2 linked regions of the Bombyx mori genome follow. The protein of the gene in region 1 binds, or shares a complex with, the protein of each later gene. Links are inferred from orthologs where the notes say so. Each region holds a gene or a part of one and is shown in the gene's direction. Other genes may lie near its edges. The genes, in order: ATP-dependent RNA helicase SUV3 homolog, mitochondrial; polyribonucleotide nucleotidyltransferase 1, mitochondrial.

Region 1 (3,830 bases):
TGAAATGAAAGAAACAAAAGAAGAATGTGTAGATTTTGAATAACAAACATTTTCTTTAAATATACATATGTATATGTATATTATTGTGTAAACATCTTTATTTTACAGGAGCATCCGGCGGATAATCTTTTACTCATTAATCAAACCGGTAATTAATGAAGACGGTGAGAAAGAGATGGACGTTATTAGTATATCACAAGCGTTGCAGATTGCAGGTGAGTAGTACTGCCAAGAAATATTATGGAATCTGCTTATTTAATTTTCGGTTTGACCCAATTGTTATGTTATCTTCGTTTTAAACCTGTTAAAACTGTTATAAAATATAACAATAACAATTTCAATGCGGTTGATGTGATTTTCTAAAATTCATTTTATAATTTTGTCGTATTCAATGAAGTTTCTCGTTCCGAACATGTATTTGCTGCACTGTACAAACAGATAGGAATACAAAATCACGTATATAATTATTATTTTCCTACCTATGCTGATAGCCTTGAGAGGCTATTTCAGCTTCTTGACGTGTATGTAAGCTCACGGGGCTCAAACCAGAGTGTTGTTAACACTGGCCCTAGCAAGAGCAGTGCTTCGCAGAATCCGCACTGGTGGTAGGACCTCTTGTGAGTCCGCACGGGTAGGTACCACCACCCTGCCTATTTCTGCAGTAATGCGTTTCGGTTTGAAGGGCGGGGTAGCCGTTGTAACTATACTGAGACCTTAGAACTTATATCTCAAGGTGGGTGGCGGATTTACATTGTAGATGTGTATGGGCTTCAGTAACCACTAAACACCAGGTGGGCTGTGAGATCGTCCACCCATCTAAGCAATAAAAAAAAATCTACCACCGGATCGGTAACGCGACCCCCTGAGAACATCCGGCGAGAAACTCAGTGGGCTGTGTCTATGGGTTAATTTACTCGTCAAGCCCTTCGTCGCAAGCGATGGGTTCGGCGAGGACAATGCCTGAGGTACCTAAAATCACCGATAATGGATCGGGAGGATCCGTAATGACGTGCTTAGGACCGTATATAAATAAGTAAATATATACGCTACTAGCTGTACCCGTCCGCTTCGCTGGGCATTTAAAATTTACATTATTATTTCTCACCCCACAAAGATTCTCATCATTAACGCCCCTGCAACTGGTGTAGGGAGTCCAACACTCATATAAATATTAGCCTATCCATTAAGTACATGTATTTTCTACATGGATACCAAGTTTCAAGTCAATCGGATGCACGGCTCAGTAGTTATAACGGAACATCCGTAAAAACCACTGTAGATTTATATATTAGTACTAGCGGCCCACTCCGGCTCCGCTCGGGTCTTTATCAAAAATTTCAACCATACTTGACGTTATTTTATTTTTTTAAATAAAAGAACACTTATTGCAGCATAACTATAATAGTTAGACATATTATGCTGTCGCGACACTTTTTGTACTTAATAATGTGTTCTACAAAATAGTAGTACATTATTTTATTCTATCATCAATAGTTTTCGCACGGCACGCGATGTAAATAGTATTTTAGGTAATTTTTTTACACCTTGGGTTACATTATTGGAGTTTTAGTAAGGATCCCTAATTTTTTTCAAAAAAGATTATAGCCTATGTCACTCGGGAATAGTGTAGCTTTCAAACAGTGAAAGAATTTTTTAAATCGGTTGAGTAGTTTCGGAGTCTATTCAATACAAACAAACAAAACTTTCTTCTTTATAATATTAGTATAGATAGATTGGAGTTCACGTGTTGTTGTTCGGCAGGTCGGGCCGGTCGTTACGGCAGCGCGTGGGAGACCGGCCACGTGACCTCGTACCGGCCCGAAGACCTCGCGACGCTGAAGACGCTGCTGTCCCAGCCGCCCGAGCCGGTCACGCAGGCCGGCCTGCACCCCACCTCCGAGCAGATGGAGCTGTACGCCTACCATCTGCCCCACGCCACTCTCAGCAGTCTCATGGTGAATGCTTTTTTCTATCAATATTAAAGTTACATTAAACTTACTTAAAATTTTACTGGTGGTAGGACCTCTTGTGAGTTCGCACGGGTAGGTGCCACCACCCTGCCTATTTCTGCCGTGAAACATTAATGCGTTTAGGTTTGAAGAGTGGAGCAGCCGTTGTAACTATACCAAGACCTTAGAACTTATATCTCAAGGTGGGTGGCGCATTTACGTTGTAGATGTCTTTGGGCTCCAGTAACCACTTAACACCAGGTGCACTGTAAGCTCCTCCCACTCCACTCATCTAAGCAATAAAAAAAAACTTATTAAAACGCGCATACCACATTTTTGTTACTATAACTAGTGGTCCCCCGGTTGTCGAAATTCGACTATAATTAATTGAAATTATAAGTTTGTATACTATTATGATTCTATTGTCAACGAATTGTTGATTATTTGTATAATAACAGATTTCGTTAAGACTACACTTTAGACAAATATTAATAAAGACAAACAATATTTAATATTTTTTAAGGGATTTTATGACCTAGTAATTTATATTCTTATTTTTATGAAAAATGATAGTATGGAGTGAAATGAAATGAAGATGATTAATTTGAAACATTTATCAACTGGGATGAAATTAAATGAAATAAGATGAAATATAATCTCAGTAAAATGGTGGTGATTTACGGAGATTTTTTCAGTGGACTTATTTCATTTTCCCACACTTGTACACTTTCGCAGATATTAAACAGTTAATAAACCACCGTTATCACACATTTAAACCTGAAGAAACACTAAATAGACAAAATAAACAAATCACACAACTTTACTATTATTATTATTATTATTAATATACAGGGTGTGACATAATCATTCTAGAACAGAATTTGAATTCGTTCAGTTTTCACATAAATATGCGATTGACAATGCCCGACACGATTACCGATACCTCTGAATGTTTCAGGACATATTCGTTCACTTGTGCACGGTCGACGATTCGCTTTACTTCATGTGCAACACGGAGGGGTTCAAGTTCTTAGCGGAGATGATACAGCACGTTCCGTTGCCGCTGCGGGCGCGCTACGTGTTCTGTTGCGCGCCCATCAATAACAAGCTACCGTTCGTTTGTGCTACCTTCCTGAAAGTGAGTATGTTCAAGTTCAATATATTTAAAAAACTAGCTGACCCCGTAGACTTCGTAGTGCCTCAATCGATAAATAAAATACCTAAACTTTTGTAGAAAATAAACTTAAAGCAAACAATATGTCCGACAAGGTACACATCAAAGGAAAAACAAAATTGTTTGTTTTTATATAATTCCGAGCTTTTTATATTTTCTCACCTTTTAAACCTTCCTTGGACTTTCACGAATAATTCAAGACTAAAATTAGCCAAATCGGTCCAGCCGTTCTCGAGTTTTAGCGAGACTAACGAACAGCAATTAATTTTTATATATATAAAAGATAAGATAAGATAAGATATAAGATAAATAAAAACATGTGTCGCCCTCGGGGAAAAGCTGTGTCGCGGTAAAGATATTGCATAGCATTTTTTTATCAACTTATGCAATTATAATTGGACCATAATAATTGAATATTAAAACAATAATAAAATTGACCTCATACAACGCGAGACCTCATACAACGCGAGACCTCATACAACGCGTGACATCATACAACGCGAGACCTCTTACAACGCGAGACCTCATACAAAGCGGGACCTCATACAATGCGAGACCTCATACAACGCGGGACCTCATACAACGCGAGACCTCATACAACGCGATAGCTCATAGCGTCTGTCTGTCTGTTCCAGCTAATCTCTGGAACGGCTATACCCATTTTAACGAGACTTTCACTGATAGGTAGCTGATGATATAAGGAGTAA
Region 2 (4,612 bases), on another chromosome or scaffold:
AAAAAAAAGTAATTACGCAAAATAATTTTATTACCAAATATCTTATATTCAACTACTCTCAAATGCAATTGGAAGCGACAACAATTGTCTAAAGATGGAATTATTCGTAACGCAATGCTTATTAAGAACAGGACAAACGTTAAACAGAAGCCGTCGCGTCGCCCTCTCAGTGCTTTTCACCAGTTTTATTCCAAGCATCGCATCGGTCACAATTCTTGTCAAACCTGTCGACCGCGACAAAGGAGTCATCATGCAACTTAACCCACGGACAGAGCCTACTGAGTTTTTTACTGGATCTTCTCAGTAGGTCGCGATTTCGATCCCTTTGAGATTCACCGAAGCATTGATTTTACTTGGGCTTGTGTTTGATGTAGCTATTATAACCTATTGAGTTTATTAACGAGTACTGATATTCCAAAATAAGAAAAGATAATGCTTGCAAAGATCATCAGAGATGATTTGATTCTGAATATTGTGACTTATTGTTTGATTGTTTAACTTTAAGATTGATTCTATTATGCTTTAGCTTTAAATATTAAGTGTCAAGTATTTGTAATGTACAGAAAAGAAGGTTTTTTTAAACTTGAAAATAAGTCCCAAGAATTTTAAAATTTGTTGACCCGCATTAACGCGTCAAATGCTTGGCGAATTTTATTTTATATCCAATGCGATTATACCTTTAACTAATAAATATCCTTAAAACTGTTTAATCTGTTCGTCCAGACTCCAGGTCAAAATGTGTTTCAAGCACTGAAGTATTAAAGGTCTTTTCGCGTCATCTGAGAAGGAGCTTGCTGACCTATTCCGTAGAGTGGAGTATGAGAGTAGTTTGGTGGGGCTCTCCGTTAATAAGTCCAAAACAAAGGTCATGATAGTGGACAGAACCAGTCAACTCTCAAGAACTGGAGAGCTATCAGATCTAGAATTCGTCAGCGAGTTCATATACCTCGGGTCCTTACTGACCGACCGCGGAGGCAGTGAGGGAGAGATAAGGAGGAGGACGCAGATGGCCAAAACAGCGATGACCAAGCTCAAACGAATATGGCAAAATCGCAAAGTCTCTAACGTCACGAAAATGAGACTCGTCCGAACCTTAGTTTTCTCAATCTTTCTCTACGGGGCAGAGTCCTGGACAATTAAGGCATCCGAGCGCAAGAAAATAAATGCATTTGAAATGTGGTGCTGGAGACGAATGCTCCGAATTCCGTGGACGGCCAAGAGGACAAATAAATCTATCCTGGATCAGCTTCGCATCCGAGTCAGGCTCTCAACAATCTGTTACCAGAGGATCCTCAGCTACTTCGGTCATATTGCCCGCCGACAGTCAGATAACTTGGACAAAGTGATTGTGACGGGCAAAGTAGAAGGAAAGAGACCCCGCGGCCGATTACCTAGCCGTTGGTGTGATCAAGTAACCGCTCTAACTGGGTTGCCAGTCGCAACCGCCATTCGAGCAGCTGAGGACCGGACGAGATGGAAACAGCTCACGAGACAGGCAACGGTCAAGTTTCAGGGACACGACCTTCAGCAATGAAGAAAGCGACGAAGAAGAAGAAGAATTAAAGGTCTATAGTTTCAAGACTGTCAACTGTCAAAGAAAATTATCAACATTCAGTCAAACAACATCAGTCAAAGTTTTTGCTTGATATTGTCTAATTTAAACTTATTTTTAGTGACTTTCGTTAATTGGCGAACTTATAATATAGATATTATTATGAAAAGTAAACAAATCATTAAGATTATTTTTTAACTAAAACCATAAATTCTATAGTACTTCTAATATCATAACGGGTGTCCTTTTTGACTCTCAAGATCATATACACAAGAAAATGTTACATAAAAAATGTATATTATTAACAAAATTGAAGACGAAAAGTCGGTATTACTGTAGATTTCTCTCATCACAAGCCAAACTTGGCGTAATTGATATTCCTTTTACTAACGGGTAAGTTTCGAGGTTAGAATATTTAAGGTTATATATCGGTACATATCAATAAAAATATATAACAATTACAAATCTACCATTCCTTTTAGAATATACAGTAAACTCAATAATTTATATAACTTTGATATAAATAAAAAATAGCAATAAAATACTAATTTTATAAAATCGATATAAAAAATTTAAAAGTTTTAAAATTAATTCCAATAATTTTCAGGACCACCCTGAAATTGTCCACGGGCCGTTACGCAAGATTCGCAGATGGAGCATGTGTTGTGTCCCTCGGTAACACAAGCGTGCTATCAACTGTTGTGTCAAAAGCTAAACAAAATCCCACTTCGTTCTTACCACTCACAGTTGACTACAGACAAAAAGCCGCAGCCGCAGGACGAATTCCTACCAATTTTTTTAGGAGAGAACTGGGTAAGACATGTAACAATCAGTCGTCAAACATTTAAGCCAACAGATTTGTCAGTCAATTCATTTTAATACACTGAAGTCAAATAAAATGGGCTCTATCTACTGCATAACCAATATTTTCATAACTGATCCTGTATAAATTGCATTCATTGGATATAAAATATAATATATGAGAGCCATTGTATAATAATTGTAATTGAGAATTCAGTTTCATTTTTCAAAGTTTAATACTGCTATTAATGTCTAGACAGCATTGCTGCAAAAACTGACAAAATATGCCAAACAGCAATCTGAACTAATAATCAAGTTCATCTTTTTTTATTCTGTTGATGCTAGTCAGCATAGGGAAGTTGTAAAATTATTGTTTTTGATGTGTCCAAATTTTCCAGTTAAATGGACCTCTTGAAGTTGTTAAAAATGATGATCAAATACCAGCAAATATACATGCATACAAAAGCATGTCAAAAATGGATAGATTTTATTTTAACTAAACACTTTGCATAAGCAGTAGTTACAAAGAAAAACTAGATAATACCAAGACAAATTTATTTTAACAGGTCCATCAGAAAAAGAAATTCTTACTTCACGAGTAATAGATCGTTCCCTACGTCCGCTCTTCCCGAATAACTACAACTATGATACACAGATAGTATGCAACATGTTGGCGATGGATGGAACGAATTTGCCTGAAACAGTAGCTATAAATGCGGCAAGTGCAGCACTTGCACTTTCCGATGTGCCGTGGAATGGCCCTGTTGGTGCTGTTCGGTATTACAATTTTCATAGCTTACACAAATATTAAATTAGCTTTTCATTAAACTTTAAATAAATTTTAAATTACCAAGAGTTTTGTGTAATCTATATATCTGTATCCAGCTCATAATTCTTCTTTCAGATTAGGTCAAATTGACAATGAATTAATAATAAATCCAACACGTAAAGAATTGGAGAAGTCTGTTTTGAACTTAATCGTGACAGCTACCAGCAGTAATCTAGTAGTGATGCTGGAAGGTAGCGCCTCCGACATCCTACAGCAGGATCTACTCAAGGCCATCAAATTAGGTATGAATGTAAGTTGATTTTTTAATCAGAATATTTTCTATAAATAGAATCAGAATATAAACCCGTATATAAATAAAAACGTAACTTTGCTATATATTTTCTAAGATTGTCGTCAATCACAAATTATTAAAATATTTTTCAATATAGTAATACCGTTTGATAAAATCAAGCTGCTATAAACTTGCTGTTTTTATTTTATGGCTCATCTGAAGGCTGTTGTTAACAGAGCTTATAGATATCACTATGTGAATGTCACCACTCTGGGACAGTAATTGTATAGTATAATGGCTTTACTACCTTCAACTTGGAATGCATTATTGTTACGAAGCAGAAGTAGGCTATGTAGTCTTCTTTTTTTCTCCATATTATCCCACTGGGTGGGGTCGGTACAGCAAATTTTTCTCTTCCATTCTCTTCTATTAATCGTAATCTCAATACTCGCTTCTCTCTCTCTCTCTCTCTTTCATATCGTCATTCACACACTCCATCCATGTCTTCTTCGGTCAACCTCTTCCTCCTCTGTCTTGCACTACTATTTCTTTGCATCTTCTCTCTATGCATCACATGTCCATACCACACTAACCATCCGCTCTTTAATTTTTAATTACCGGGGCTACTTTCACACTTCCTCTGATATACTAGTAGGCTATTATAAGTAGAAATGTATACTGTTATTACTATCACAAAAAGGCTTGTCCCTTGTCATACTAATTTCATTATGTATCTAATGAACTTATTATTTAGTTTGGCACTATAGATACTATAGAATATGTAATTACAGTCATTGAATGATTCTGAGAAGAAAAGATTTACACAACACACATTGACAGTGGACACAACAAAAATGCTCTGAACCAAAGTTTTATTTCTATCTCTTTCAGGAACCAAAGAAGCTCAACAAATTGTGAGAGGGATAGAGAAACTGCAGAAGGATCATGGTAAAATGAAAAGAGAATATGAAATTCAACCACCTCTAGAACAAAACATTGTTGATACTATCAAAATATTATCTTCTATGAAAATCAGAGAAATATTGAGGTATATTGTTTTAAATTAATTAGGCCTAATTATTTTTGAAGTATTATGATTATATTTATGAGGTATTATTATTATATTTATGAGGTATTATTATTATATTTATGAGGTATTATTATTAACAAATTTAGATCTTTGCCTTTTTTTTTATTG

What was found.
Region 2: ATP-dependent RNA helicase SUV3 homolog, mitochondrial (region 1) and polyribonucleotide nucleotidyltransferase 1, mitochondrial share a complex: the UniProt entries of both Homo sapiens proteins name them as parts of the mitochondrial degradosome (mtEXO) complex. The link is inferred for Bombyx mori from reciprocal best matches to the Homo sapiens genes SUPV3L1 and PNPT1.

Annotation. Positions count from the first base shown.
Region 1 is NC_085119.1:5,380,285-5,384,114, forward strand, and holds part of ATP-dependent RNA helicase SUV3 homolog, mitochondrial, read left to right. Parts: intron 1-108; coding exon 109-215; intron 216-1,761; coding exon 1,762-1,955; intron 1,956-2,761; exon of another isoform or gene 2,762-2,907; coding exon 2,908-3,087; intron 3,088-3,285; exon of another isoform or gene 3,286-3,385; intron 3,386-3,830. UniProt on the Homo sapiens protein: Major helicase player in mitochondrial RNA metabolism. Component of the mitochondrial degradosome (mtEXO) complex, that degrades 3' overhang double-stranded RNA with a 3'-to-5' directionality in an ATP-dependent manner.
Region 2 is NC_085131.1:2,169,917-2,174,528, reverse strand, and holds the start of polyribonucleotide nucleotidyltransferase 1, mitochondrial, read left to right. Parts: upstream 1-1,595; 5' UTR 1,596-1,829; coding exon 1,830-1,945; intron 1,946-2,159; coding exon 2,160-2,365; intron 2,366-2,919; coding exon 2,920-3,130; intron 3,131-3,257; coding exon 3,258-3,424; intron 3,425-4,305; coding exon 4,306-4,462; intron 4,463-4,612. UniProt on the Homo sapiens protein: RNA-binding protein implicated in numerous RNA metabolic processes. Catalyzes the phosphorolysis of single-stranded polyribonucleotides processively in the 3'-to-5' direction. Mitochondrial intermembrane factor with RNA-processing exoribonulease activity.